Linked DNA regions of Anolis sagrei. The protein of the gene in region 1 purifies or fractionates together with the protein of each later gene. This does not show direct contact. Links are inferred from orthologs where the notes say so. Each region holds a gene or a part of one and is shown in the gene's direction. Other genes may lie near its edges. The genes, in order: EXOC7, EXOC6B, EXOC6 and EXOC8.

Region 1 (7,426 bases):
TTCGGACAGTGCAGACTGTTTGCTACAACAAAACCCCCAAAATAACTAGGATTTTATCCTGGAAACGACAAAATTGAAATAATATCCCAGATCCATTTACTGTCATGGCTGAGTTTGTTTCTGACTTATTCTTACTCATAAGCAATGGGTTCTGGGTAGAAATTTGCAGAATGTTGTAATACTCATAAAAATGCTTATATTATTGTAACAGGTGAGACATGATTTAAAAGTTAGCACTACATTATTATGAGCCACACTTTGTTTAAACTTGTTGTATGCCTCCCTGAATGGTATACTTGGAGAAAGGCAGTATAGGGAAACTGCATTTTCTTTTAAAGTACTTTAATGGTTAGCATCTTCTTTAAAATACAATGAAACACACATATAGGAAGAAAACCTTGAGTCTGGATGCAGCGCCTCCCTTCCCACCTCCCCCAAATGTCCAGTTCTTTTTGAATAGAAGGGCCCCACTTCTGCTCTTGTAGTTTGCTGGTTTCTCTCCATGGCTTTAAAGAGGCCAGCAGTGTGGCCAGAAACAAATTTCCGGTCCTCTCTAAATCTCCTCCTCTCCAGCTGTTACTTGTTGCTGGGCTGCTGGTTGGCAAGAATTTGGCTCTTCACCTTTATCTTTCAGAGAATGTTTCTTCAAGAAGTGGAAAATGTGTGGAGGGCTGATCCCTCTCTCCCGCCTCATATCTCTTAGAGTAATGACCATGGTGCCATGCTTTAGCTGAAAGAAATGTGCTTCAACAAGCGACACAACAATAGCCCCTATTTCTTGGTTCTCCTCTTGCCCACTTTCAATCTGTAATAAAACACTTAAATTCTTAAGGTGTGGTAGTGACCAGTCCCCCCTCCCTCGTTAGCCTTGAAAACATGCAAAAACAACAACAACAAAAACCCCCAAACAAACCCAAAATCCGTTGTGCGGTAAGATAGCCCAAAATGACATCTTTTCAGCATCTGTGCCCATGTAAGTCCTGAATGATGCCATCAAATGAAGAAGTCAGACACAAAAGAAAGAATCCAAATGCCCAAATTTTTTTCCTCTCACACATAAGTTGAAGGAAAGGTAGCCTTGTGCCCTGATGTTACCTGAGTTGGCACAGGTTGTAAAAGAAGAATATGGTCTACCAACCTAGAGTAGAGATATAAGGTAAAGGACACTATAAGCAGTTTCATCTCCAAAGCAGTTTTCTCTGCTGCTACAAGTTACATATAGGAAGATACAAGAGCCCAATCTCAATTTTGCCTATGCACATAAAAAACAACAGCTCTGCAGAGGACAGAAGAGTGCTTGTCAGGTTCCAAATATGAAAGGCTGTCTGTGCCTAATTGTTGGTAAGTGACTTATTGACCCTGGAAAATTGGTGAGTTAACTATGGAAAAGATCAAATTACCACAGATTGCTTGGAGTGGGGACAGGAAGGGACTGAAATCATAGTCACCACGGGCATTAAAAGCACTTTATATGATGAGCAGGTTACTGAAGCTGCAATCCTATACACCAGTGGTTCCCAACCAACTGAATTCCCAGTTTTTTGTTAGTTGAATGTTTGTAACTCAGAGACTGGCTGTAATAGGAGGCTTGGGGAGCACCGTCCAATGCTATGATTCTGTAACTAAAAATCCCACAATCTACAGCCAAAATAGCCAATGGGGACTCTAAGCCAAGTCAAATCCAACAGTGGACAAGGCTAAAGCAAAAAGTGGATGCTGCCTGCCTTTTCTCCCCTCTTTCCTCCATGCCCAAAAGGGAGTCCAACCGTTCATTTTTGGCAGATATCTGAATGGCTTGCTTGCAGAGAATTTTTGAAGGCATGCCAAGACTCACAAAACTTATGGCTGGGGCTTTTGAGCTCCTCTGATGTGTAAGACCATGCTACTAATCTACCATATTATTATTATTATTATTATTATTATTATTAAACTTTATTTGTACCCCGCTAGCATCTCCCGAAGGACTCGATGCGGCTTACAAAGGCCAAGGCCTCAACACACAATATAACAATACAGAACCAAAGCAAAATAAAAACAATTCAGCAATATGCACAGTTATCTATGGAAAGCCTGCTGCACCCAACAAAATCAATTCAGTTACTGTGTGCTGTCCATATAGCGCAAATAGCACAGTGCTGGATTTAGAACAAATGGGACCCCTTGCTAGTTATGAGGCCTCTTCCTTCCTTGGGCCTTTAAGGAGGGAGGCCAGGTAGGTCTACACTGCCTTCCATAGACTATCAACGCTATCATTATGTCTGGAATCGGTCCAAAACAGAACACCTTAAAATTTAAAAATGCACCACATAAGTAAAATTGACTGTAAAAAATGTTTGACAGGAAGATGGGCCCCTCTGGCCAACGGGTCCCTGTGTTTAAGCACAATGGTAAATCTGGCACTGCCCGCACACCCATGAAATGACTGATAACATCCCATAGTTTAATTAACTCCATTTGAGTCATTCTCCTCACTTTGCCTCAGGCCTTATTCTAGCTGGCACCTTTCTTTCTGGCATCTTTACCTTGACTGGATCTCTAAACCAGTTGGGGAACCAGTTATCTACATAAGATGTGAGTGGTATAATACATAACCTTTGTCAATGGGTTCCTGAAGCAAAAGAGCCCATTAACAATAGTGGAGGGCTCAGTCTCCTTGAAGCGGATATGGCATGGGGCATCCAGGAGTGGCCCACCCACCCACCGCCAAGGGATGAGGGATTTATTTCAAAGGGACCTGCATGGCTTGCAGTGTCTCCAGCTGAAAAGGCCAATGGAATCCCTGCCAGGCAGGCAGTACATTTCCCCATTCTCCAGCACATTTTTGTGGTGCATACTGCTGTTTGCTAAGTGGATTAGGACGCAGGACAAAGTATTTACTTTTATCTGAGTTGCATCAAGAATAGCTGGCCCCCCACCTGAAAGGAATGTCCCAATTAAATTACAAATGACATGTCCTGAGTGTAAGAATTGGGGATTGGCCAAAGCAAACAAAGCATTCAACCTTTACTATTTCCCCCTCAAGATCAGCGCACAGGGACATCTAGTGGATAAGATATTTTGGATAAAGTTTTTTTAAAAGATGGACACTGCATTTCACTTGTTTCTTACCACATTTGTAGAATAAATAAATAAATAAATAAATGGTGGGATCACAAGTCTGAAAAAGTTACACAAAATCAAGACATCAATCTATTCCGGGACTTCTGAATTCAGACTGACAGAGTTTTGGAGCACAATACCCCTGACCTCACAATCCTGGGAAAAACAAAAAACAAAGTATGGATCACCGATGTTGCAATCCCAGGTGACAGCAGCATTGACGAGAAGCAACTGGAAAAGCTGACACAATATAAAGATTAAAAGATTGAAATGCAAAAACTCTGGCACAAGCCAGTCAAGGTGGTCCCAGTGGTGATCGGCACACTGGGTGCAGTGCCTAAAGATCTTGGCCTGCACTTAAAAACATTTGGCACTGACAAAATCACCATCTGTCAGCTGCAAAAGGACATCCTACTCAGATCTGCACACATTATTCGCTGATACATCACACAGTCCTAGACACTTGGGGAGTGTCCGACATGTGATCAAATACAAAAGCCAGCATGGCGAACTTGTTTAATGTGTTCTAATCTTTTTGTGTGTCTAATAATAATAATGATAATAATAATAATACATCAAACTGCAAAAACTCTGGCACAAGCCAGTAAAGGTGGTCCCAGTGATCTGGGACCTTGGCCTGCACTTAAGCCAGCATGGCGAACTTGTTTAATGTGTTCTAATCTTGTTGTGTTTCTAATAATAATAATAATAATAATAATAATAATAATCTTTATTTACATCCCACCACTTCTCCCCAAAACGACTTGGGGCAGCTAATCATCATCATAATAATAATAATAATAATCATCATCATCATAATAATAATAAACTTTATTTGTACCCTGCTACCATCTCCCCAAGGGACTTACAAAAGAAGAAACACAATAGAGTAATAGTAAACATACAACCAAATCAAACTTAATTCATAACATACTAATAAAATTCAGAAGGCTGTTAGGAATTGTGGGAGTTGAAGTCCAAAACACCTGGAGGGACAAAGTTTGCCCATGCCTGCTTTACAAGGTCTTTAGCCTTCTCTGCAAAAGACTGCTGGTATTTCATCAAGCTAAAAATCTCATGGTAGTTAAAGGAGTGTCAAACCGCATTTATTCTACAGTGCAGACACACCTTCAGGGATGGTTATTTTAGCACATTCCTCTCCTTGCGGGTCTCCCACTAGGGGGCGTTCGGCGCCTCGCCCAATAGGCTTGTGACATGCGCAGTAGCACTCCCTCTGACACTAGCTTTGCGGGTTCGACAGATTCGGAGGGCGCTCTTCCATTCGCCGGGGAATTTTCCCCTGCCTCTCTCAAGATGGCGACCTTCTCGGACCGGAAAAGGCGGGGAATGAGGCGGAAGTGGAGTGAGTGTTGACAGGAGCTGGAAGGCGCTTCAGCGGAGGCCTTGGAGCAGTCCAGGGCCGGCCTCGGGTCGGGATGATTCCCACGGAGGAGGCCTCGGCCCGGAGGAGAGAGATAGAGGAGAAGCTCAAGCAGGTGGGGCCTCAAGGAGGAGCAGGAGGCTGCAGCGCCATCAGCCCCCGGCCACGGCATTGAGTCATGAGGCTATACCAGGCCTGGGCAAACTTGGGCCCTCCCTCCAGGTGTTTTGGACTCCAACTCCCACCATTCCTAACAGCCTCAGGCCCCTTCCTTGAGGGGGAAAAGGAAAGGGCCTGAGGCTGTTAGGAATGGTGGGAGTTGCAGTCCAAAACACCTGGAGGGCCTAAGTTTGCTCAGGCCTGGACTATATTGTGTGTGTGAGGTGGAGGGTGTGTGTGTGTGCTTGTTTTCAGTCCTTTAAAGTATAACACAGGATTTGAATATATTTTAAGTGTTATGACTATGTTTAGGCAGATTTTTCATAATAGCAGCAGACTCTCAGTTAACTGGTACCAATGGGGATCAATATGAAAGTAGCTTCTGGTTGCTTGAGAGTTATTACTAAGAGCAGGCCTCAGTAATACTATGCCCCATACAATGCCATCCCATAAGCTCTATAACTGGATTGGTGTTAATATTGAAACACAATAATTGAAAGCATATTGAGACAGAAAGGGCAAATTTATTGTAACACAGTTTTATTGTTTTATGATATTCTAAAAACAGCATTTTTAAATTTAAAGTATTATTTCTTTTCTTTTTCTTTTTGTTGCTATCTGCCTGAGTGTTACAATTAATTGAGTTATTATTATGATTATGTTTATTTCTGATTAAAATGTTTAATTGTATGGTTTTAATTGTATTTGTTTATTTTTGTATTTATATGTATTTTCATAAAATTGCGGCCTGTTGTAAAGCCGCCCTGAGTCCCCTTTTAGGGTGAGAAAGGCGAGATACAAATATGTGAAATAATAAATAACAAATACCCCGCTTTTTCTCTCCATACGGCTACTCAAAGCGGATCACAACTAAAAGCATTGCAATACAGTCTAAAAATATACAAATATACAAGTATTAAAACAGTATTAAACATCATAAAAAGCATATAAAATCACAGCAGCCCCTGATGACCTTAAAAAACCTTCTTCTTTAAAAGCCTGCCTGACTAAAAAGGGTTTAACTTTCTGTCTGAAGGGGACTGTTCTGGCTTTCCTGGGGAGAAGGGAGTTCCAGGGTCGAGGGGCCGCCACCAAGAAGGAAGGCCTGTTCTCTTTCCCACCAACTGGACTTGAGATAGAGGTGGGACTGAGAGAAGGGCCTCTCCTGAAGATCACAGGGCCCAGGCAGGTTCATACAAGGGGATGTGGTCGGTCAAATAGCCTGGACTTGAACTGTCTAGGGCTTTAAAGGTCATAACCCGCACTTTGAATTGTGCCCGGAAACAGATAGACAGCAAGTGCAGCTTCTTCAACAGGGGGTTGTCAGCTCCTTGCAGCCAACCCCAGTGAGCAACCTGGCTGCAGCTCTTTGGAACAGCTGAAGTTTCCCAGCACTCTTCAGAGGCAGTTCCACGTAGAACGCATAACAGTAATCCAGATGGGATGTTACAAAGGCATGGACTACCGTGGCGAGATCTGGCTTCTCAAGGAATTAGCACACAAGTTTTAATTGTGCAAAGGTCCTCGCAGCCACTTTCAACACATGGACCTCCAGATCCAGGAGAACTCCCAAACTGCGGACCTATGTCTTCAGGAGAATGTGACCCCGTCCAGCACAAGCTGAATCCCTAGTCGCATAAGGCTGGAATGACTTGAAGGCACCCAGAAATAATAGAAGGTAGCTTTGAGTATAAAGGTGCCAGGATATACAGTGTAGTTGTTGAATCACAGAGTTGGAAGAAACCTCCCAAGGGCCATCCAGTCCAACCCCATTCTGTCATGCAGGAATATACAATCAAAGCACCCTGACAGATGGCAGTTCAATAAAGAAATAAATGACAAAAATGACAAAACCAATAGAAGTTGCACCTCTGGAGGATATCCAGAAGGCCCAGGTTGCCCTCCTAATTTGTTTGTTTGTTTTGGTATCCTGTTAGGCTTAGATGATCTTTCTGCTCTGTAATGGGATGTGTGTCCTCTGTTAATAGTGGGTGCCCCCCCCCCCCCGATTTACAAACTGCACCAAAAGCTAAAACAAGAAGAGAGCCAGAGTCCTATGCACAGTTATATGGGAGTGCATTTACCAGCCTTGCTTCCTAGGAGCTTAATGTGTTGCAGTTAGGACCAGGGTTTAAGCTCAGAGCACAGTGTAAAGTATCTTATTCTTTCCCAATTATTATTCCACAGGTGGCACCATAGGAGATGTCACATTGTCTTGCACTCCTTGCATCAGCATTTAAAAGCTTAAAAAATTACATAGTGGGCTCTTTGTATGCTCTTTGTCTCCAGAAGCCCTCCCCTTCCTCGTACAGTAGACAAAGAGTAGGACTTTCCTGGTGAACATCTGGAAAAACTATTGGCACACAAAATACTCTGTTTTCTCTAGCACTTACAGGAGAAGTACTAGGACTCACATGAATCCTGAAATTACACCAGAAAACCTCTCTATCGGGGAGGGGGGGGGGGAATTGACAGTGTTTCATTGTTACGGCTACACAGTTACTGAGAACTTGCAATTTTGTTAAGAATTTAGAAAGGTAATATTTGAAATTTCAGGACACAGGTTAATACTTTCCCCTCTGTTTGCACTGACAGGAAGAAGAGACATTGTCTTTTATTAGTGAGAGCTTAGAAAAAAGTGACCAACTCACCAAAAACATGGTAGGTTTGTCTGTTTTTTTTTTTTAAATCAAGTATGTGACATGTCTCAGTTGTGCTTTACTTGACGATAATGTTAACTAATCTTGCAGTAGACTGTGCTGAAGGAAATGGTTCCAATCTCTACAC
Region 2 (7,877 bases), on another chromosome or scaffold:
CTCTCTTGTAGTTTGAAGCCATTGTTCCATTGCATCCTAGTCTCCAGGGAAGCAGAAGACAAGCTTGCTCCCTCCTCCCTGTGACTTCCTCTCACATATTTATACATGGCTATCATATCTCCTCTCAGCCTTCTCTTCTTCAAGCTAAACATGCCCAGCTCCTTAAGCCGCTCCTCATTGGGCTTGTTCTCCAGACCCTTGATCATTTTAGTCACCCTCCTCTGTTTGGAGGAAGAGTCGGTTCCTATGGCAGAGGCGAATGCAGCGCAACCAGTACTATGTCTGAGCTGATGGTAGGAAACAGGAGGGAAAATGCTAAGTTTAGAAAGGGTACAAATGTTCTTTTAATGCGGCAGGTATAAAAAAATAGGTAGTGTATTTTCATTATGGCCCAAAACCTCCAGCATCTCTGTCCAATTAGACACAAGAAGCAACGAGGCTGTTCAACAGGTTTATTTGGCCAAATCACCCTGCTGGGTGAACAAGAAAAAAGTGCCACATAGACTGAGACACTGCTTCGTTATTTATAGTCAACACTTTGAGCATATGGTTGCTGTGAGTTTTCTGGACTGTATGGCCATGTTTCAGCAGCATTCTCTCCTAATGTGTCGCTTGCATCTGTAACTAGCATTTTCAGAGGTTCTGTTTGCCGTCACATGGTTTTCCAGATAACTGTATAATAATAATTGGCCAAGGGAGTGGTCAGTGCCTCTCTTGGCCAAGGCAGAGTCCCAGCTGTCCAAAGGAAGCTGCTGTTTCATAGAATCAAAGAGTTGGAAGAGACCTCATGGGCCATCCAGTCCAACCCCATTCTGCCAAGAAGCAGGAATATTACATTCAAATCACCCCTGACAGATGGCCATCCAGCCCCTGTTTAAAAGCTTCCAAAGAAGGAGCCTCCACCACACTCCGGGGCAGAGAGTTCCACTGCTGAACGTCTCTCACAGTCAGGAAGTTCTTCCTTATGTTCAGATGGAATCTCCTCTCTTGTAGTTTGAAGCCATTGTTCCATTGCGTCCTAGTCTCCAGGGAAGCAGAAAACAAGCTTGCTCCCTCCTCCCTGTGGCTTCCTCTCACATATTTATACATGGCTATCATATCTCCTCTCAGCCTTCTCTTCAGGCTAAACATGCCCAGCTCCTTAAGCCGCTCCTCATTGGGCTTGTCCTCCAGACCCTTGATCATTTTAGTCGCCCTCCTCTGTTTGGAGGAAGAGTCGGTCTCTATGGCAGAGGCGAGTGCAGCGCAACCAGTGCTATGTATGAACTGATGGTAGGAAACAGGAGGGAAATGCTAAGTTTAGAAAGGGTACAAATGTTCTTTTAATGCGGCAGGTATAAAAAAATAAGTAGTGTATTTTCATTATGGCCCAAAACCTCCAGCATCTCTGTCCAATCAGACACAAGAAACAACGAGGTTGTTCAACAGGTGTATTTGGCCAAATCACCCTGCTGGGTGAACACGAAAAAAGTGCCACACGGACTGAGACACTGCTTCGTTATTTATAGTCAACACTTTGAGTATATGGTTGCTGTGAGTTTTCTGGACTTTATGTCCATGTTTCAGCAGCATTCTCTCCTAATGTTTCGCCTGCATCTGTGACTAGCATTTTCAGAGGTTCTGTTTGCAGTGAGGCAAGTTTATTTATTTCCAATATTTCTATCCCGCCCTTCTCAACCTCTTCTACACTGCCCTATAAAATTCAGAGTGTCTTTGAACTGGATTCTATGGCAGTGTAGACTCATCTAATTCAAAGCAGAATAGTCCAGATAATCTGTAGACTCATATAACCCATATCAAAGCAGATAATCTGGATTATATGGCAGGATAGGAGGAACCTCATATAACCCAATCCAAAGCAGAGCATCTGGATTATCTGCTTTGATCATCTTGATTATGTATCAGTGTAGATCCATCCTTTGATGGAACAAAGAGGCTCTCATTCCCTGCAGAAAGGATACTTTTCAAAGGCAGTCATTCATTTGCTTTCCAAACAACAATATTTGGGTGAAAGGGCATCATTTACATAGATTTATCCATGCCTAATTTTATGCTCATTTCTCGCTATATGAACATTTTCAGTTGAACAGGCACAGAGTGGGATGAGCCAACGCTGTCTGTAAATACAGAAGGCTATATATTCCTGTTCTGCTTTACATGCTTCAGCAAAAACTAAACTTTGCAGAACTATTCTCCAAGATGGTTTTCTCTACTTTCTGCAGAAAGAATAAAGAATCCGATTGATTTCCTACGTTTGGAGGGTTCCTCTCTTTCTTAAAAACAGACTACAAGACTGTTTATAAGGTGGGTGCTAGAAACAATATCATACGAAAGCTGACTGGCACAACCTGGGGATCACAACCAGACACAGCGAAGACATCTGCCCTTGCGCTTTGCTACTCTGCTATTGAGTATGCATGCCCGGTGTGGAACACATCTCACCATGCTAAAACAGTGGGTGTGGCCCTTAATGAGACATGTCGCATTATCACGGGGTGTCTGTGCCCTACACCACTGGAGAAATTACACTGCTTAGCCGGTATTGCACCACCTGACATCCGCCGGGAAGTAGCAGCCAATAGTGAAAGGACCAAGGCAGAGACATCCCCAGCTCATCCCGTTTGGGTATCAGCCAGCATGCCAACGACTTAAATCAAGAAATAGTTTTCTAAGATCCACAGAGACACTTGCTGGAACACCTCAGCAAGCGAGAGTCCAAAAGTGGCAGGCTCAAACCCAGAACCTCAACCAATGGCTGAAACCAAATGAGAGACTCTCTCCCAAGCACACAGAAGACGGGGCAACTTGGAAGGTGCTGAATAGGCTGTGTTCTGGCACCACGAGATGCAGAGCCAAGCTTAAGAAATGGGGCCACAAAGGCAGCGCTGATGGAATCATTCCAGGAGTTGCATGTGACGTCTGTAGACAGTCCATGTTTCGCAGGCATAGAGCAGGATTGGGAGGACAATAGCTTTATAGACAAGCACCTTAGTATCCCTACGGATGTCCCGTCCTCAAACACCCTCTGCTTTATTCGGGAAAATGCTGCACTCGCAGAGCTCAGGCGGTGTTGTATTTCGGTGTCGATGTTGACTTTGGTGGAGAGGTGGCTGCCAAGGGAGCGGAAATGGTTCACATTTTCTAATGTTACACCATTAAGTTGTATCTCTGGCATTGGAAAGGGTTGGCTGGTGTCTGCTGGAAGAGCACTTTGGTTTTCCCGATGTTCAGTGACAGGCCAAGCTTCGTGTATGCTTCTGCGAAGGTCGCTTGTAGATCTTCTGAATGCGCACAGACGACATTGTCATCAGCATAGTGGAGTTCTATAACAGATGTTGTTGTAACCTTGGTTTTGGCTTTCAGTCTGCTGAGGTTGAATAGCTTGCCATCTGTCCAAGAGATGATTTCCACTCCGTTGGGAAGCTTCCCATCAACAAGGTGAAGTATCATAGCGATGAAGATGGAGAATAAAGTTGTAGTGGCAGGGTGTTGCCACTGGAGAGCATCGGCAAACCGTACTCACCAGATGCACACACGGTTCCTACCCCACTGACCATGTAAGGACATTACCCTTGAGGGCAGGAAGGATTACATCACCTATAGCTGACCTCACCTGTAGATTACCTCACCCTTGAGAGTTCCACCAATCACCTGGCCATTATATAATCACCCACTGTCGCTAGGCAGACTTTTGCTGAAGAGCACCAGAACCCATATAAGCTTTGCTTGGGCAACAATAAAAAAGCCATCATCATTCACTTTGACGCCCTGTCTCCCGCCTGGTCATTATTGCGTCCCGACATAAAGTCGGGGCAATAACACATCCCTGTTTGACACCCGATTCCACCTTAAATGGTCCATCTGAACATGAGGAAGAACTTCCTGACTGTGAGAGCCGTTCAGCAGTGGAACTCTCTGCTCCGGAGTGTGATGAAGGCTCCTTCTTTGGAGGGTTTTAAACAGAGGCTGGATGGCCATCTGTCAGGGGTGATTTGAATGCAATATTCCTGCTTCTTGGCAGAATGGGGTTGGACTGGATGATGGCCCAGGAGGTCTCTTCCAACTCTTGGATTCTATGATTCTGTTGACAGGTGGCTTGCCCTATGATTGCAGCCAAAAGAAGCTACCTATCTGCCGAGTCCTTGAAACTTAGGACTGCAAAAAACATTCAATGCAAAGCAAACAAAATTGGTGCTCCTGGTACAGCTGTACCTGCACAATTATTATTATTACTATTAAGGCAGGTAGGCAGGAGCAGCAATAACAACAATCGGGAATGGAAAGCAAGGCTTCACGCGCCACCTACCGGTCGCAGCGGGGAACGCAGCAATAAGAGTGCAAGGGAAGGTGAGCTAGCGATGCGCGCGCAGCCCGCTCCTCCTTTTTGCTTCCTTCCCTCCCTGAGAAAAGGGGCGTGGCCTGGCGAGGGCGATGCGCGCGCAGCCCGCTCCTCCTTTTTGTTTCCCTCCCTCCCTGAGCAAGGGGGGGGCGTGGCCTGGCGAGGGCGATGCGCGCGCAGCCCGCTCCTCCTTTTTGTTTCCCTCCCTCCCTGAGCAAGGGGGGCGTGGCCTGGCGAGGGCGATGCGCGCGCAGCCCGCTCCTCCTTTTTGTTTCCCTCTCTCCTTGAGCAAGGGGGGGCGTGGCCTGGCGGGGGCGATGCGCGCGCATCTCGCTCCTCTTTTTTGTTTTCCCTCCCTAAGCAAGGGGGGGCGTGGCCTGGCGGGAGCGATGCGCGCGCATCTCGCTCCTCCTTTTGTTGTCACTCCCTCTCACCCCGTGAGTGTCGGCCCGTGAGAGGGCGCTGTTTCTCTTCCGGACTACGCTTCCCGTCATGCGCAGCGGCGGCGTCTCCAAGGGGCGTGGCGGTTGCCATTGCTACGGGCAGGCGGAGGGGCGCGGCCTAGGCCCAGACGGAGCCTGATTTCCCTCAGAGGCTCACTCCCGGCCGCGCCTCGCCTGTCTTCGGGCTCCGATGGCGTCCTCGGCGGGGGAGAGCCTGGAGGCGGCGGCCGAGCACGAGCGCATCCTGCGGGAGGTGGACAGCACCGACACGGCCTGCCTGGGGCCCACCCTCCGGTGAGGAGAAGGGAAGGGGAAGCAGGAAGGCAAGAGGCCCGCCCTCCTGGCCCCTCACCCTGCCAGCCCCACAACACATTTATTATTTACTTTACTATTTATTGACTTTATTTTGTATAATAAATATTTATACTGTATAATAAATAAATACAAATATTTATTATATATTTGTATAATAAACATTGCTTCCCATTACCTCCACTCAGAAAATGTGATATAGTCATAGCTTGGCAGCTTGACAATAGGAAAATATAGGGCTGAATGTGAGCCAGGGGTGTGGTGCAGCAGCACAAAAGCCCAATGCGATTCTAACCTGGATCAATGAGAATCTAATGTGTGAATGGAGGATAGTAACATAGCCATGTCCTGATGATAGTAAGATATATGGCTGAATATGAGCCAAGGGTGTGATGCAGCAGCACAAAAGGCCAATGCTGTTCTAACCCAGATAAATGAGAATCTAATGTATGGATAGAGGAAAGTGATATAGCCCTGGCCTGATTATAGTAACATATATGGCTGAACGTGAGCCAAGACTATCATGCAGCAGCACAAAAGGCCAATGCGATTCAAACCCGGATCAATGAGAATCTAATGTCTGGATGGAGGGAAGTAATATAGCCCTGGCCTGATTATAGTAAGATATATGGCTGAACGTGAGCCAAGGCTGTCATGCAGCAGCACAAAAGGCCAGTGCGATTCTAATCTGGATCAATAAGAGTCTAATGTCTGGATGAAGGAAAGTAGTATAGCCTTGGCCTGATGAGAGTATGGCTGAATGTGAACCAAGGCTGTCATGCAGCAGCTCAAAAGGCCAATGCAATTCTAACCCAGATCAATAGGAGTCTAATGTCTCGATGAAGGAAAGAAATATAGCCATGGCTTGATGTCAGTATGACATATGGCTGAACGTGAGCCAAGGCTGTCATGCAGTAGTTCAAAAAGCCAGTGCGATTATTCTAGGCTGCATCAATAAGAATTTAATGTTTGGATGGAGGAAAGTAACATAGCCATGGCCTGATTATAGTAAGATATATGGCTGAATGTGAGCCAAGAGTGTGATGCAGCAGCACAAAAGGCCAATGCGATTCTAACCCGGATCAATAAAAGTCTAATGTGTGGATGAAGGAAAGTAACATAGCCATGGCCTGATGATAGTATGGCTGAAAGTGAGCCAAGGCTGTCATGCAGCAGCTCAAAAGGCCAATGCGATTATTCTCGGGGGTGAGAAGGGCGGGGTAGAAATGGTGTAAATAAAATAAACAAACAAATAAATATTCTAGGCTGCATCAATAAGAGTCTAATGTCTTGATAGAGGAAAGTAAAATAGCCATGGCTTGATGATAGTAAGATATATGGCTGAACGTGAGCCAGGGATGTGATGCAGCAGCTCAAAAGGCCAGTGCGATTCTAGGCTCTATCAATAAGAATCTAATATTTGGATGGAGGAAAGTAACATAGCCTTGGCCTGATGATAGTGTGGCTGAACGTGAGCCAGGGGTGTGGTGCAGCACCACAAAAGCCCAATGCAATTCTAACCCGGATCAATAAGAATGTTTGGATGAAGGAAAGTAATAAAGCCATGGCCTGATTATAGTAAAATAGATGACTGAACCTGAGCCAAAGCTGTCATGCAGCAGCTCAAAAGGCCAATGTGATTATTTTAGGCTGTATCAATAAGAATCTAATGTTTGGATGGAGGAAAGTAACATAGCCTTGGCCTGATGATAGTGTGGCTGAAAGTGAGCCAAGGGTGTGATGTAGCAGCTCAAAAGTCCAATGTGATTGTAGGTTGCATCCATAAGAATCTAATGTTTGGATGGAGGGAAGTAATATATCCATGGCTTGACAATAGTGATATATATGGCTGAACGTGAGCCAAGAGTGTGATGCAGCAGCAGAGAAGGCCATTGCGATTCTAGGCTGCATCAGTAAGAGTCCAATGTGTGGATGGAGGAAATTAACATAGCCATGGCCTGATGATAGTATAGCTGAACGTGAGCCAAGGCTGTCATGCAGCAGCTCAAAAGGCCAATGCTATTCTAAGGTATTATATTTTAGGTAGAAGAATTGAACTGTCAATATCAGGCCTGGGCCAACTTGGGCCCTCCAGGTGTTTAGGATTCCAACTCCCACAGTTCCAAACAGCCAGTAGGGCCGACATTTACCTGTGCCTCATCTATATGTACATATTTAGAGATAGATGATGGCCTTGAAAACAGTCCATGCGAAAGGGATCTCGGAGTCATAGTGGATCCCAGTGTGATGCGGCAGCTAAAAAAGCCAATGTGATTCTAGTCTTCATCCAGAGGAGTCTCGTGTCTGAATGGAGAAAAGTAAGATAGCTATGGCTTGACAATAGCGATATATATGACTGAATGTGAGTCGAGAGTGTGATGTGGCAGCAGAAAAGGCCAATGCGTCTCTAAGCTGCATCAAAAAGAGTCCAGTGTCTGGATGGAGGAAAGTAATATAGCCATGGCTTGATGATAGTAAGATATATGGCTGAATGTTAGCCAAAGCTGTCATGCAGCAGCAGAAAAGTCCAATCCAATTCTAACCCAGATCAATAGGAGTCTAATGTCTCGATGAAACCAACCTCATAGGGCTTGTTCTCCAGACCCTTGACCATTTTAGTCATCCGCTGGAATGTGTCCAGAGGAGGGCGACTAAAATGATCAAGGATCTGGAGAACAAACCCTATGAGGAGCAGCTTAAGGAGCTTGGCATGTTTAGCCTGAAGAAGAGAAGGATGAGAGGAGATATGATAAATATGCATAAATATGTGAGAGGAAGCCACA
Region 3 (7,782 bases), on another chromosome or scaffold:
CGCTTCGGTGGAAAGGTAGTGGCGCTCCATGCAGTCATGCTGGCCACATAACCTAGGTGGTGTCTATGGACAACACCATGCAGTCACGGGAAGGTAAGGGTGCTCCATGCAGTCATGCCGGCCACATGACCTTGGAGGTGTCTACAGACAACACCAGCTCTTCAGCTTAGAAATGGATATGAGCACCAACCCCCAGAGTCAGACATGACTAGACTTAATGTCAAGGGGACACCTTTGCCCTTTATAGTCAAAAAAAGCCCTGAAAGCTAACTAATTCTCTATGTTACAAAAATTGAAAAATATTCTGTTCTTTGTTTAAAAGCGTGTTTTTCCTGTTTAATTGTGCAGCACATACTTTGAAAGCATCTGTTATACTCCAGAAACTGTGTTTTTGTGTCCGCCACAAACTATATTGAATTGGTTGAAACTCAATGAGATATTCATTGAAAAATGATAGCAAAATATGCTGTGGGATGTCCCGCCAAAACAAAGTTTTTGCAGTTTAATAAACTTTGTCCATGTTTTTAGGCTAGACCCAATTAGGAAATGACATTTGTAACCCGGGAACAAAAATGGTGCTACATATGTAGTGTTATCTACTGCCCAAATGTTAAATTGCATAAAACAATACCTCTACTGCAAGTTTCCCTAATATCATCGATAATTTGTATCCAAAATGCTATCTCTGTAGCCCTGTCAGTGTCTTTCTCAAACCCTATTTAGCTGGAATTATAATCTGTTTCCAATCATTCGGAGCCAAGCATTTGCCTTTCAAAAACATTACATTTCCAATAGATTATCTTAACTGTAATAGACTGCTCCACCTTCACATCGAATAACAAATACCTATATATTCATTTTGGAATGAAGTTCAATACATAGGTTATACATTCAGCATTTTCCCATTGGAAGTTCTATAGTACTTTGAGTATTTATTTATTATTGGATGTAGTTATTCAATTTCACTGCGATTGTTTTGTCAAATTCAGCAGTTTTTGGCTTCATGGCATTACTGCATGTCAAAAACATAAATTTCCCGTCAGTCTTGCAGTTAGGTCATATCCGTCTTAATTTCAATAATATTGTGGGGAACATGGCCTTTTAATGGTAAGGCATATTACTTCACTTATATTATATTTGGCTGATGGCTGCATTGCCCCATATTTTTATTTTAATAATACTCTTACAAAGATGTACTTCTAATATCATCATGAACTTGCTGATCAACACATGTCATGTCGACCTTTGTACATTTAGTGGCATTTCCTCCAACATGATCTATTTCCTTGGCTTGTGTGTGGAATTTTTTTTTAAGCAACAGGAAAGATCTGAACATGGAAAATGTGACTTTATTTTAATTGGCAGTGGGAAGTCAGAATTTGATATCAAAGTTAAGAAAAATGCCATTTTTAAACCAGCCCAAACTTTTAAAAGCCCAGGAACATATATTTCATTTTTATGAGAAATTTATATTTCTGTGCAAGTGGAGTAAAAAAAGTCACATTTCCGACCAGAAGGAAACCATCAGCCAGCAAAAGGCATATTTATTTATTTACGACCCTTTATATGCCGCCCTTCTCATCCCGAAGGGGACTCAGAGCGGCTTACAAGATATTATATTATTAGCATAGTATAATATCAGTATTAAATATAAGTAATTACTGCTATAGACACCGTGAAGAAGGCATTCTATTCTACTTCTATTGCAGCCTGTCATGTATTATGTTCTGCAGTTGATGGTGGTTGGTGGTGGTAGGCCTAGCAGTTGGTGATGGAAGGGTTAGTGTAAGTCTTAGTTCTAAAGGGTTGAGTAATCTGTAAGTAAGAGTTCATGGGTGAAAACAATTAAGGGTGCAAGCATGCAAGAGATAGGTTGCAGCTGGGTGTTTCTGGATATAAGGATTTAGCCTTGGGACTGATCTTTGGGAGAAAAGTATTTGTTTTATTTTGGTGGTAGATGCTGCTGGGTTTCCCCCAGGTTTGTGGATTTTCAGTGTCCTGACCTGAACCTTTGGAATCCTGGAACCTAGAACCTTTGGACTGGATTTTGACTACAGTATAGATCCCTGGACTTTTGTTTATTGAACTCTCAGCTTTTGATCACTGGACTACAGAGTTTCTTACTCCTTTTGACTACAGAGTTATCTTGAACCTGCAACAGTGTTTGCTGATTTTGTTTTATATTCTGTGGCTGAGTGCAATCTTTATGTTTTATGTTTTGGACTATTAAAACAGCCAGAAAATAAGTGCTGTTTTGGTTAAATTGCTTGATACAAACTGGATGATTTTTTGATTCACCTCTACCTGAATAAGGCAGAGCCCTGGCATCATGACACGGCCGTTAATAACAGGCCCAACAAACTTTTCTGAGTGTTGAGAGGGCTCTTGAACTAGGGTACCATTCTAGAGAATTGTAGGCCATCAATTTCACTCTAATTGTGACTGTGAGACCTTCGTGAGTTATTCTGCATCCAAGATTGGTTGGAGCCATGCGGTTTTGGATTCCACTATTAAAGCAATTCCCATGGATGCACCCACTGCATCGTCTGGTCTTGTTTGCACGGATTCATTTCAACTTGTGTCACCTGAGGATGCTGACAGAATCATTGGAGAAGTGAAAGCCACCACCTGCATCCTACACCCTTGCCCTTCGTGACTGGTCAAGCAAAACAAGGAGTACGATCTGGAACAGGGAACTAATTAATGCCTTGCTAGATCAAGGCCTGGTTCTTACTGCTTTGAAGGAAGCAGTGGTTAGACCCCATCTAAAAAACAGTCCCTGGATCCTACAATCTTGGATAATTATAGGCTGGTATCTAATTTACCATTTATTAGTAAGATCCTGGAAAGCGGGTGGCTAAACATCTCCAGGGATTTTTGGATGAGGTTGATTATCTGGGTCAATTCCAATCTGGCTTCAGACCAGGACATGGAACAGCTTTGGTCACCTTGGTGGATGATTGTCACAATGCCAGGGCTCTGCCTTATTCAGGTAGAGATGAACCAAACAATCACCCAGTTTGTATCCAAAAGTTTAATTAAAACAGCACTTACTTTCTGGCTGTTTTAATAGTCCAAAATATAAAACATAAAGATAGCACTCAGCCACAGAATATAAAACAAAAACTGATAGCAAATGCTACACCGTAGTCAAAGGGTCCAGTTCAGTGGTCAAATGCTGAAAGTTCAATGAGTACAGTCCAGGGATCACGAGTCTATACTGTAGTCAAAAGCCAGTCCAAAGATTCAAGGTTCCAGGATTCCAAGAGACAAGTCAGGATACCAAAAATCCAGAAACCTGGGGGGAAACCAGCAGCATCTACTACCAAAATAAGACAAATACTTTTCTCCCAAAAATCAGCCCCAAGGCTAGGTTATTATATCCAGAAACACCCAACTGCAGCCTATCTCTTGTATAAGTAAAGGTAAAGGTTTTCCCCTGACATTAAGTCCAGTCGTGTCCGACTCTGGGGTGTGGTGCTCATCTTCATTTCTAAGCCAAAGAGCCAATGTTGTCCATAGATACCTCCAAGGTCATGTGGCTGGCATGACTGCATGGAGTGCCATTAACTTCCTGCCGGAGCAGTAGCTATTGATATACTCACATTTGCATGTGTTTGAACTGCTAGGTTGGCAGAAGCTGGGGCTGACAGCGGAAGCTCATGCTGCTCCCCGGATTCGAACCTGCGACCTTTTGGTCAACACGCTCAGCAGCTCAGCGGTTTAACCCACTGCGCCACCGGGGGCTCCATCTCAGGTTGTTAATAGGAACAGAGCTCACAACTCCTCTGTTGCGCCAGCTCCACTGCTGCCAGTTTGCTTCTGGGCACAATTCAAAGTGCTGGCTTTAGCCTATAAAGTCCTAAGTGGTTCTGGATCTGCTTACCTATCCGAAAGTATCTCTCCTTATGAACCATCTAGGACACGAAGATCTTTTGGAAAGGCCCTACTCACAGTCCCACCTTCCTCACAGATGTGTTTGGCGGGGACAAGACATAGGGTCTTCTCAGTAGTGGCCCCTCAATTGTGGAACGCCCTTCCCAGGGATATAAGAGAGGGCCCCTCCCTCCTGACTTTTCGAAGAAAGGTTTAAACCTGGCTTTTGAGCAGGCTTTTGCTAATCCAGCATAATTATACGAAATCATGGAACGACCTGATGATGCAATTGAATAACGATTTTAACAAGGAGGCGCTCACAATAATGGTTTTATGGCTTTGTACGGTTTTTATATTTTTATATTTTACATAAATGCTTTTAATGGTATTTTATGATTGTTTTATTTCTTGAGGCATCAAATGTTGCCAACTGTGAACGCCCCGAGTTGCCTTCGGGCTGAGAAGGGCGGTATACAAATATGGTAAATAAATAAATAAATTTTATTGATTTATGTTTTATTAGGTTTTACCTTTTATGTATAACTGTTTGATGGATTTTATATTCTGGTATGCTCTATGCCACCTTGGGTCTGCGCTGTGGAGAAAGGTGGGGTAGAAATGCTTCAAATAAATAAATAAATAAACAAACACTATAACTCCTAAAATGCCAATCTAACATGATTGATGGCCCTACCAGGTGGAGGTGGGTGGGAGTTGCAGTCTAACTTACCAACATTTCCAGGCTTTATGGTTATATAAAATAAACATCCAGCATTTTGATTGATTGCTTCTTGGCTGCATTAAAATAGGTAGGCATGAAACAGATCTGGCGTCATAACAAGTCTGGGGTCATAAGGAAAAGGCTACTTATAGCAGGCTGGATGACAACAGCTGTGTCACACTTGTGGGCAGAATGTCTTCAGGACGCCCAATGTCAAATCAGGATTTGCTTTCTCCTTTTGCTGGTGAGAGAGTCTTTCATTCCGGTGATATTAAAAGAAGACGGTCCTCCCTTTATGCCTGGAACAGTTTAGTGCTTTACCATGGCTGCCAATGCCAGTCCTAACACAGATGGATTTTGCATGGAAGAAAACAAAGATAATGTGTATGAAACAGTCCTTGGTGAGATTAAATACTTGGAGCTGCCCCTGGGAATCACTTTAGGGTGAGTATCTCCTGCCAAGAATGTACTTTATGCTCCTTCCGCTGGGTTTGTTGTAAAATATTCAGAGCAATTATACTATATTTTCTTATTTTAATAAAAACAGACCTAGTTATAAACCAGCCTGTACAGGTTGACATCCCAAAGCTGAAAATGCATTCTTTGTTTTCAATTACTATGATGAAAAGCATTTAAGTTCAGGATGTTAAGAGGCTGTTCTTAAAAAATACTTTTCTCATTCCCATTTCTGATCAAAATGTGTGATGGAATTATTTGTTTTAGGTCTATCTTTGTGGTGGTATGGCTAACAGGTTTTTACTAACAGCTGAAATGTTGATTTATGACGATATATTTATATCTTCCGTTCTTATGCTAAAGAAACAAATAATGCAGTTGTTTTTGGGGGGAAGGGGTTGCACTTCATATACGAATTGCCTGTTAAACATATGCATGCTTCTAGATAAGTCTACATAATTAAATACAGAATTATCTGATATTTGTAATAGAAGATTAACTTACCCTGTGTTAAAATATAGCAATTAGCAAACAAAAAAAGGCAAATCTCTTCATGATTTTTTTTTGTCGTAATGCATATCAGATTACATGGTATCATATTCGAGTTTATTTATAGTAGCTCATGGGAGTATTTTAAAATAACATAGCTGTACTTGTGTGTATTGATTTACGAAGAAGATTACACTGCAGAAACTATTAGTATAAGACACTTGATTTGTCCTGTAATATCTGTGCATCATCATATAATGTAAATAAGGTGATGAAGCATTTTTGTACCAGGTTTTCATAAAGTTGTCATAGGGCCCTTCCACATAGCCATATAACCCAGAATATCAAGGCAGATAACTCATAATATCTGCTTTGAACTGGATTATCTGAGTCTATACTGCCATATAGCCCAGTTCAAAGCACATAATATGGGATTTTATAAGAAATAAGAAAGGGTTGCAGCAGTTATTGTTGCCAGGGTGGGCATGCTTCACTGTTCACTTTCAACATATTTCTTTTCTGTTTCCTCCATTCCACTTTTCCTTGGAATTGTAGTTTGGTGAGATGCCAACACTTTTTGACAGGGAAAGCTATATTTATTTATTTATTTATTTACTGCATTTGTTGACCGCCGTTCTCAGCCCTAGGGCGACTCCCGGCGGTGTACAACATATAAAAACAGTTTACAATAAGGCAATAACACAACAAATATCAACAACAACAATAATACAAATTACACTAAATCATCCGCGCCGTCTCATCTTGGAATCATAAACCAAACTCGTAATCCATATTCCGTTCCAGTCGTCATTGCCAATTGTTGTGGCACTTAGTCAAACGCCTTCTCAAATAACCATGTCTTTAGGCTCTTGCGGAATGACATAAGGGAGGGCGCCTGTCTGATGTCTGCAGGGAGGGTGTTCCACAGCAGGGGCCACCACCGAGAAGGCCCTATCCCTCGTCCCCGCCAGACGTGCCTGTGAGGCAGGCGGGATCGAGAGAAGGGCCTCCCCAGACGATCTCAAGGTCCTCGTGGGCTCATAGGTCGAGATGCGGTCAGAAAGGTATTTGGGCCGGAACCGTTTAGGGCTTTGTAGGCCAACACCAGCACCTTAAATTGGGCCCGGTAGCAGATCGGCAGCCAGTGGAGCTGGAACAACAAGGGCGTTGTGTGCTCCCTGCGTCCCGCTCCTATAGATCTTGTAAAACTACAACTCCCATGATTCCATAGCTCTGAGCCATGGATGTTAAAGTAGTGTCAAACTGCATTAATTCTACGGTGTTGATGCACTTTGGGACTAACATTTGGTTATAAAATACATTACAGCGACATAACAGCTAAAGTAATGTGAAATACATTGTGTGTGTGTGTGCACAAGCACACACATACATTCTTATTAAAAACATAAGTTTAGAACTGCTTAAAAACATGTAAATGATAATAATGAAGATATTCATTGCACAGTGCCTTGGTAGTCCTGGTGAGTTGAAAGCCGATAGGCAATTATTGAAATAGAATACCAAGCCGTCACGGAAGAAGTCGACGTTCTGTTTCCGCAACCAGCAACTAGCGTCTCACAGTTGTCTCAATGTCTTCATCAGAAGCATAATGATGTCCCCACAGATCTTCTTTCATTATCGGGAACAGATGGAAGTCAGACGGTGCTAAATCTGGACTGTATGGAGGGTGTCATATGGTGGTGAGATCCAGTCTCTGAAGTTTCAAGTCTGTGTGCTTTAATTTAAGGAGTCAGCATCCTGAGTACCCATCGTGCACAGATCTTCCGATAGCCAAGCAAAGCAGTAATGTGACCCACACGTTCTTTTGAAATGCCAACTATGCTTGAAATTTCTCTCTGAGTGATACTATGATCATCCTGAATCAATCTGTCAACCTTTTGCTTGTGAAACTCGGTGGTTGCTGCTACAGGACCTCCAACTCTTTGTCACACAAGTCAGTTGTTCCCATCTCAACATCTTTAAACTTACTTGCCCAATGACTCACAGTACTCACATTAACACAATCACCATAAACAGCTTGAAATCTCTGATGAATATCCTTTGAGGTGACACCTTCTGCTGTCAAGAATTCACTGACTGCATGTTGCTTAAGTCGCATTGACCATCTGCCCAGGGTTCCATACTTTGCACTTTAACAATACAACTGTTCAATGCTAAAGCTTCCTGCCAAAATAGAACTGTAGAGGAGAGTCTACTGAACAAACCAGTAACTGCCACAT
Region 4 (7,254 bases), on another chromosome or scaffold:
ATGTCCTGTTGTCAGCTTACCATGGGCAATGACTTGAACACTATGTGAACACAATCCTGGATTAGACAAGTCTCAGGCCTGATTCAATATGGTTGTTTTTGCACCCTGGACACCAAAGTTACACAGGAAGACAAGGCTCTATCAAATTAATGGTTCCATGGGAGAATTGGTCCAAAATATATATCATTTGTGTATTCATTCTGGTCATAATACTTAAAAGTTGCAATCTAATAGTAAGCTTCATACAGTTAAATGACAAACTGTATAGTGTTAATATAAACAGTATAGTGTTGTTCTGTGCCTTCAAGTCACTTCAGAATTAGGATGATCCTAAATCTAAAGTTTAGGGCGGGGTCCAGGTAAATTACATTGGAGGGCTGCATCCAGCCTGCGGACCTTAGTTTGGGAACTAATCTGTTGTACTTCAAGCATTGAGAAGTGCCTTACAAATAATGTTTACCGTAATATTTGTGCCAGTTAAGCGATTTATCCGATCCATGTGTTTGCAGAACTCCGGGCCATGAGAATCGTGATCTTTGTCATTATAAGTGACAAACAACAGAGCATGAATCATTTCATGTAAAAGAGTCTGAAATTTTTAAAAAATCATTGGATTAGTTGAAATGTTTATTTCTTAAGCAATAAGAAATAGTTATCTACAATTGGCTTAAAACAGAGATGGGCTGCACCAGTTTAAAATAAACACTTAAAATGTTTCCTTCCATTTTTCTCATTCTCTGGCATTGTTCGTTGTAATCAATATGGCCTTTAACTAAAATCAAAATGCTACAGCTGGCAAACGAGGAGAGGAACAAAGAAGGAGGCAGGAGCTCAAAATCACTCCCAGCTTTATAAGAAGTCAGATTTGTTAGTCTGACCTGAGAATTTGTTTGACCTGACACACAAGTCCATAAATGAGGTGGGCAAGAGTGAACACATGTCTGACTGTGACAACTGTGTGATCTACTACAGTTGGGTGAGAGATACTTCCTCTCTTTAGACTTTTTCTACACACTGGGATTGTATTACTTTAAAGGGCTTCTTAATTTTTGTCAGATCAGAAATGTTATTCTATGATTTTCCTGAAGCTAAAATGTGAGGGAATTTATTTATTTATTTATTTAAGACATTTATATGCCACCCTTCTCACCCCGAAGGGGACTTAGAGTGGCTTACAAGACATATATATATATATACAATATATTATTAGCATAGTACAATATCAGTATTATATATTACTATATTGTACTATACCATTATATTGTAATATTACTAGTAACATCACATGTAATATAAAATATATAATTATATCATATTGTTAGTAGTATTATTATATTGTATTACATTATAATATTATAAATATTATATGTATATACAATATAGTACACTACATTATATTATATTATTAGCATAGCACAGGAAACAAGGTAAAACTGTCTTCTGGCCCCCTCTCTCTTCACTCTGGCCCAGAGCAGCAATTGGTGCTGGGGGAGTGGTCCCTAACTGATGACAAATGCAGGAGACAAGATGGAACTGTCCCCCCCCCCCCTTCACTCTGGCCCAGAGCAGCAGTTGGTGCTGGGAGGAGGGGTCCCCAACTGATGACATGAGGGCTTATTGTTAATATTTTTGTTGTTTTTGAATACAACAAATTACATCAAAACAAAAAAATTCCACCGTGAGCATTTCATTTTGTAATGCTTCTCCTTCTGTAAGTTTCAAAGGTAAAAGATCTGAGAAGCATATTTCTTTGAAATCAAAGTTAAAATATTTTCAATATGCTACATGCATCACACCCACCTTACTTTTTGACAGCTGCTCAAATCACTGGATCCTCTCATTTTAGAGCAATGGTTCCCAACTTTTAGTCTGACAGGTGCTTCAGACTTCAGTTCTTATAATTCCAAACAGCTGGTAAGCTGGCTAAGATTTCTGGAAGTTGAAGTCCAAAACACCTGGAGGACCAAAGGTTGGAAATCACTGTTCTAGAGGATCAAAAATCACTTACAAAATACAGAGTACTACCTTGAGTACAGCTATGCCTCTAAACATCTAAGAACACCAAAAACATTAAAAGCAAAATACACTTTTCAGTCACAAATGCAGTCACGTTATCTAGCAGAGGGAGGGCAAATTTCATAGAATCACAGCCTTCTTAGTAACTGGTGGGAAGGAGTGAGAGAGCTGAACAACAACTCCATACAGATGACATCTGACCCCAAAACTCCAGATGATCTCTCCCAGTGGCTTCATGTAAATGTTAAACAACATAGGGGGGAATACTGATCCCTAGGGGACCCCACAAGTCAATGGTTGTGAAGTAAAGCAGTTGTCCCCCATCAACACCTTTTGGGAACGACCCTCAAGGAACAAAGATAAATGATCTGTTTGTTCTTATGTTGAGGCCGAACAAACTCATATCAAATAGGACATCAAACATAAATGCTCATGTGAGGAGCTAGATAACTATTCATTCAAGGGCCTTCTGGACATATTTGAATGTTCAGGCATGCTAGCTACAATAAATTTACTACAGTTTGTTTGATGTTTCTCTACAAAGACAACCATCAACAGTACCTCTACAAGATCCTTTCTCGGTCGCAGCTTTAGAAGGGGCTCACTAAGTCGAATGGAGCACATTCCACCACGGCCTTCATAGCAGCAAACTCCTGCACATCTAGAAAATAATAAATCACAAACAACAAACATTTGCTTTCAACTGCAACTTGGCTGTTCTGTATTCATAATGCATTAGGGTTCTTACCTTGTTTGAAATAGAAGGTTGGACGATTGTTCTCCTTGGGGGTAAATAATCAGGACTTTTCTCTTTTACAGTAATTTGTTAGAAAATTTAAGATTGTGATTAGTGCCTATTTTTTTCAACACGTTTATTGATCAACAAGGGGAAGCTGTAGCCAAATATTAGTGTGAAAGTGGATACAATCTAATAAGTGTTGTTAGAGTAATGTCAGGTTCAGACATTGGGGAGCAAAAGGTAGGCATGATATAAGAGTTAGGTGTTAACTTGGATCCATAAGTCAATACTAAAAAGTAACTTTAAGGAGATAGACTCCATGTAAAACTTATTCCAGCAACAGAAATCACCTAGGATATTAAACAGCCTGGTTTCCAGGCCTATCTGAATTCGGCTACCCACTCCTGAGGTCTTTTATTCACAAAGGTTTCCTTACTTCTGAGATTCCTCTGCTCCCAAGAAAGATGACTCTTCTAGGGCTTAAGATGCATGTATCACTGACAGTAATTGCCAATGGCTGCATGTTCTTACTTGGACATTTCCTGCATGTAGCTAGATCATTCCTTCCATAAAAGATTGCTCCAGGCACTGCCAGGCAATCAAATGCTAATCAAGGTGGTCAGCTGAAACATTCACACCTAGCTCCAGCAGACAAGAGTCCTTTGTCTCACCCTGGTCATTCCACAGATATATAAACCCTTTTTCCTAGTTCCAACAGACCTCACTACCTCTGAGGATGCTTGCCATCGATGCAGGCGAAACGTCAGGAGAAATGCCTCTAGAACATATAGCCCGAAAAAACCTACAACATCCAGCTAGTATGAGAATTCTGGGATTGTGGTTTAATCTGAAAAGGAACATTTTAGTCCAGACTTGAGAGCCAAGGGTAGTTCTGACTACTGAACTATGCCTTGGGGAGGTGGTTGGACTGGATGGCCCACGAGGTCTCTTCCAACTCTATGATTCTATTGAAAGTTTCCCCACGCCTGGGCTAAGCCAACCCCTTAAAAGAGGTAAGGACACAGCCATAAATCCGAATAAGAAAATGTGTGGGGCACAACGTGTCCCATGAAACCGTACAGCGTCATGCGGGGGCTCCACTTCACCTCCACGGCCTCCAGGGCCCCCCAAAAGAGGCTCTGGTTGAACTGCAGGAAGAGGCCTCGCACGTCCGGGCTGGGATCCAGCAGCTCCCAGCTCTCGTCCACCAGCGACAGCGGCCGTGCCGGCGAGGTGAAGGCTGGGCCGGCCTTGAGGGAGGCCCGTGCGCGGCCGCCCTCCTCCGCGTTCCACTCCTCTTGGAGCCGCAGCGCCAGCAAGAAGTCGCCGTCCATTGGAGCACAGCCTTTCGTTGAGCCCTCCGCCTTCAAATCCCGGCGCATGCGCCGTAAAGCCGAGGGTTTGTTGTCTTCCTGCCTCGGAGAGAGTCGCGCGCCTCGCGTCACTGCGGCGCGGCGCCTTGACGTTTTTTACGCAGCGGCGCACGTAAGCGGCCTTCCGGTCAGAGGCGGCCCCTGCTTCCGGCGCAGCGACGCCTTGCTTCCTCTCCCTCCTCGGCGAAGGCTGGTCTCTGGCGGCTCCGGCTCGGCCATGGCGCTGTCTCTGGGTGAGGTGGCTCCGGGCGGCGGCGGCGGAGGAGGAGCGGGAGGGAGCCGCTTGAGGCGGCAGCTGGAGTCCGGGAGCTACGCGGCCGAGGAGTACGTGAAGCAGCTCTCGCAGCAGTCGGACGGCGACCGGGACTTGCAGGAGCACCGCCAGCGCATCCAGGCCCTGAGCGAGGAGACGGCGCAGAGCCTGAAGCGCAACGTCTACCAGAACTACCGGCAGTTCATCGAGACGGCGCGCGAGATCAGCTACCTGGAGAGCGAGATGTACCAGCTCAGCCACATCCTCACCGAGCAGAAGGGCATCCTGGAGGCCGTCACCCAGGCGTTGCTGCTCCTCCAGGCCGACCGCGACGACAGAGCCGCCGGGGCTGCCTCCTCGGACCCGCACGCCAACCCCTTCCTGCCCCTCTCCGCCAAGGAGGCGGCAGCCAGCGAGGAGGGCCGCCAGCGCACCCTGACCACCCTCCTGGAGAAGGTGGAGGGCTGCCGCGACCTGCTTCCGGAGAGCCCCGGCAAGTACCTGGTATACAACGGGGACCTGGTGGAGTACGACGCCGACCACATGGTCCAGATTCAGAAGGTGCACGCCTTCCTGATGAACGACTGCCTGCTGGTGGCGGCCTGGCTGCCCAACCGCCGGGGCACTTACCGTTACGACGCCCTCTACCCACTGGACGGCCTGGCCGTCGTCAATGTCAAGGATAACCCGCCCATGAAGGACATGTTCAAGCTGCTCATGTTCCCCGAGAGCCGCATCTTCCAGGCCGAGAACGCTAAGATCAAGAAAGAGTGGCTGGAGGTGCTGGAGGAGACCAAGAGGAGCCGCGTGCTGAGCGAGAAGCGGAGGCTGGAACAGGAGGTGCCGGCAGCCCGTGCGCCTCCCCCAGCCCCTCCAGAGGCTACCAACCCCTTCGATGAGGATGAGGAGGAAAGTGGGGAAGGGGGGACCCCAGAGGAAGAAGTGGTGGATCTCTCCCTGGAGTGGATTCAGGAGTTGCCTGAAGACTTGGATGTCTGCATCGCTCAGAGAGACTTCGAAGGGGCGGTTGACTTGCTGGATAAGCTGAATGAGTATCTAGGGGATAAGCCCTTGACACAACCAGTCAGGGAGTTACGAGCAAAAGTGGATGAGAGAATCAGGCAGCTCACCGACGTGCTTGTGTTTGAGCTTTCTCCAGATAGGTCACTTCGAGGTGGGCCCAGAGCAACCCGTCGTGCTGTTTCTCAGCTCATCCGGTTGGGCCAGTCAACCAAGGCGTGCGAACTTTTCCTGCGGAACAGGGAAGCGGCCGTTCACACAGCCATCCGACAGTTGCGCATTGAAGGTGCCACTCTGCTGTACATTCACAAGCTGTGCCATGTCTTCTTCACCAGCCTGCTAGAGACCGCAAAGGAGTTTGAGACGGACTTTGCTGGCAACAGTGGGTGCTATTCGGCTTTTGTTGTCTGGGCTCGATCAGCAATGAGGATGTTTGTGGATGCGTTTAGCAAGCAGGTGTTTGACAGTAAGGAGAGCTTATCTACTGCTGCTGAGTGTGTAAAGGTAAGGGCCCAAAGTGATGAGATGGAAAAAAAACTGTGTTACCCTTAATTACATATCCTCTAGATCACAGCTTCATAAAACTTTGGGTCCCAACCTCAAGCGGGGTTCCCTTTGCTCAATGTTGGAGTCCAGAAACATTTGTCAGCAGTAAACGTTTTCTGAATGTCAGCTAGTGGGTGTTTTGACATTTGCACAAATCTGTTGTGCAGTGTTCACAGTAATTCTACAGAAGATGCTTCAGGTATAGTTCATAAAAAGGAAAATCAGCCTGTTTAGCAAGCCTCACAAGTGCTGATTTCTTCTCACATCTATTGATGCCTATTCTATATATTTGTGTACCCACAAAAAATTCTTAGGTCAAAAGGCGTCATGAGTGGAAACGTTTTCCAAATAGTGTCCTTGAATTTAGAAGCAACATGGAAGCAAAGTATTGAGTCATCTAGCCCAGCTTCCTGAGACAGGATATTATTTTTGTAGGCAGTTATTTATGATGGCCGTGGCTTTGTGTGGTTCACTCATCCCAATGCTCAGCATTACTCCAGTCATTTTTCCTGTTTTGCTTTCTTATGTTTTCTAAAGATCTATTGCTGTTTTTCACAGCAGGATAATACCTGTTTTTCTTGCCTTCCTAACACTAAAGAACCCCGCCCTTTTATCATTTAGTAGATGAGGGAGGACAAGTTATGTACAAACTCCCTCTGTAGCTTGGCTTTATCCCAAATGGTTTGTTCACATACAGAAGTGAGGGTGTGGCTTGCCTGCCGAAGAAAGGCAGTATGTACTGAAAAACGTAGCAGAGAATATAGGGACTAAACTTGCAAGTGGTTGCAATAGTCAGGACAACCTAGCACTTTGAGCACTTAGTTTAATCGCATCTGGAAATTATTGGATGGGTAGAATTATATCCCAACACCACTCCTTTCTCTTCAATTCTTAGCACTGTGGAGTGTGTTAAAGATTGTCTTTTTCTTATGGCTGGAATGGTGGCAGAAATAGAAATAAATGCAGAGTCATGTACTGCTTTCTGCTTTCATGGCAGGTTTCTATTTACAAACTAATGTTAAAGATTTATGGACCTGACATGGCTCAAATTAATGTTGACTGTGCTATTTTGAAATTGATGCAGAAAGCATGTTGAAATTGACATGAGACCTATCACTTTAGGTAAATTTAGTCACAATTATTTTGTTCTATTCTTGTTAAGGGAATTAGGCACAATTCAAGTTTGTTGAAGACCGGCATAGTTCTCTAAGGTGGGGGTGGGGGTTAATCTCTCCTTGAATCTCTATTTTGAGAGAAAGCAGAATAAAAATGAAGCAGAATAAAGCAGAATAAAATGAATAAAATTT

The links.
Region 2: the proteins of EXOC7 (region 1) and EXOC6B purify together in Homo sapiens (affinity purification with mass spectrometry; 3 studies listed by BioGRID and IntAct, with this or other methods). This does not show direct contact. The link is inferred for Anolis sagrei from reciprocal best matches to the Homo sapiens genes EXOC7 and EXOC6B.
Region 3: the proteins of EXOC7 (region 1) and EXOC6 purify together in Homo sapiens (affinity purification with mass spectrometry; 4 studies listed by BioGRID and IntAct, counting the BioPlex papers as one, with this or other methods). This does not show direct contact. The link is inferred for Anolis sagrei from reciprocal best matches to the Homo sapiens genes EXOC7 and EXOC6.
Region 4: the proteins of EXOC7 (region 1) and EXOC8 purify together in Homo sapiens (affinity purification with mass spectrometry; 4 studies listed by BioGRID and IntAct, counting the BioPlex papers as one, with this or other methods). This does not show direct contact. The link is inferred for Anolis sagrei from reciprocal best matches to the Homo sapiens genes EXOC7 and EXOC8.

The regions. Positions count from the first base shown.
Region 1 is NC_090022.1:118,826,081-118,833,506, reverse strand, and holds the start of EXOC7 (exocyst complex component 7), read left to right. Parts: upstream 1-4,413; 5' UTR 4,414-4,535; coding exon 4,536-4,595; intron 4,596-7,234; coding exon 7,235-7,300; intron 7,301-7,426. UniProt on the Homo sapiens protein: Component of the exocyst complex involved in the docking of exocytic vesicles with fusion sites on the plasma membrane.
Region 2 is NC_090025.1:2,905,260-2,913,136, reverse strand, and holds the start of EXOC6B (exocyst complex component 6B), read left to right. Parts: upstream 1-4,863; 5' UTR 4,864-4,972; coding exon 4,973-5,076; intron 5,077-7,877. UniProt on the Homo sapiens protein: Component of the exocyst complex involved in the docking of exocytic vesicles with fusion sites on the plasma membrane.
Region 3 is NC_090023.1:186,661,451-186,669,232, reverse strand, and holds the start of EXOC6 (exocyst complex component 6), read left to right. Parts: upstream 1-4,779; 5' UTR 4,780-4,919; coding exon 4,920-5,041; intron 5,042-7,782. UniProt on the Homo sapiens protein: Component of the exocyst complex involved in the docking of exocytic vesicles with fusion sites on the plasma membrane.
Region 4 is NC_090021.1:60,851,355-60,858,608, forward strand, and holds the start of EXOC8 (exocyst complex component 8), read left to right. Parts: upstream 1-4,247; 5' UTR 4,248-4,345; coding exon 4,346-5,905; intron 5,906-7,254. Other genes in the region: DNA-dependent metalloprotease SPRTN, read right to left, coding at 461-589, 2,578-2,677, 3,836-4,137. UniProt on the Homo sapiens protein: Component of the exocyst complex involved in the docking of exocytic vesicles with fusion sites on the plasma membrane.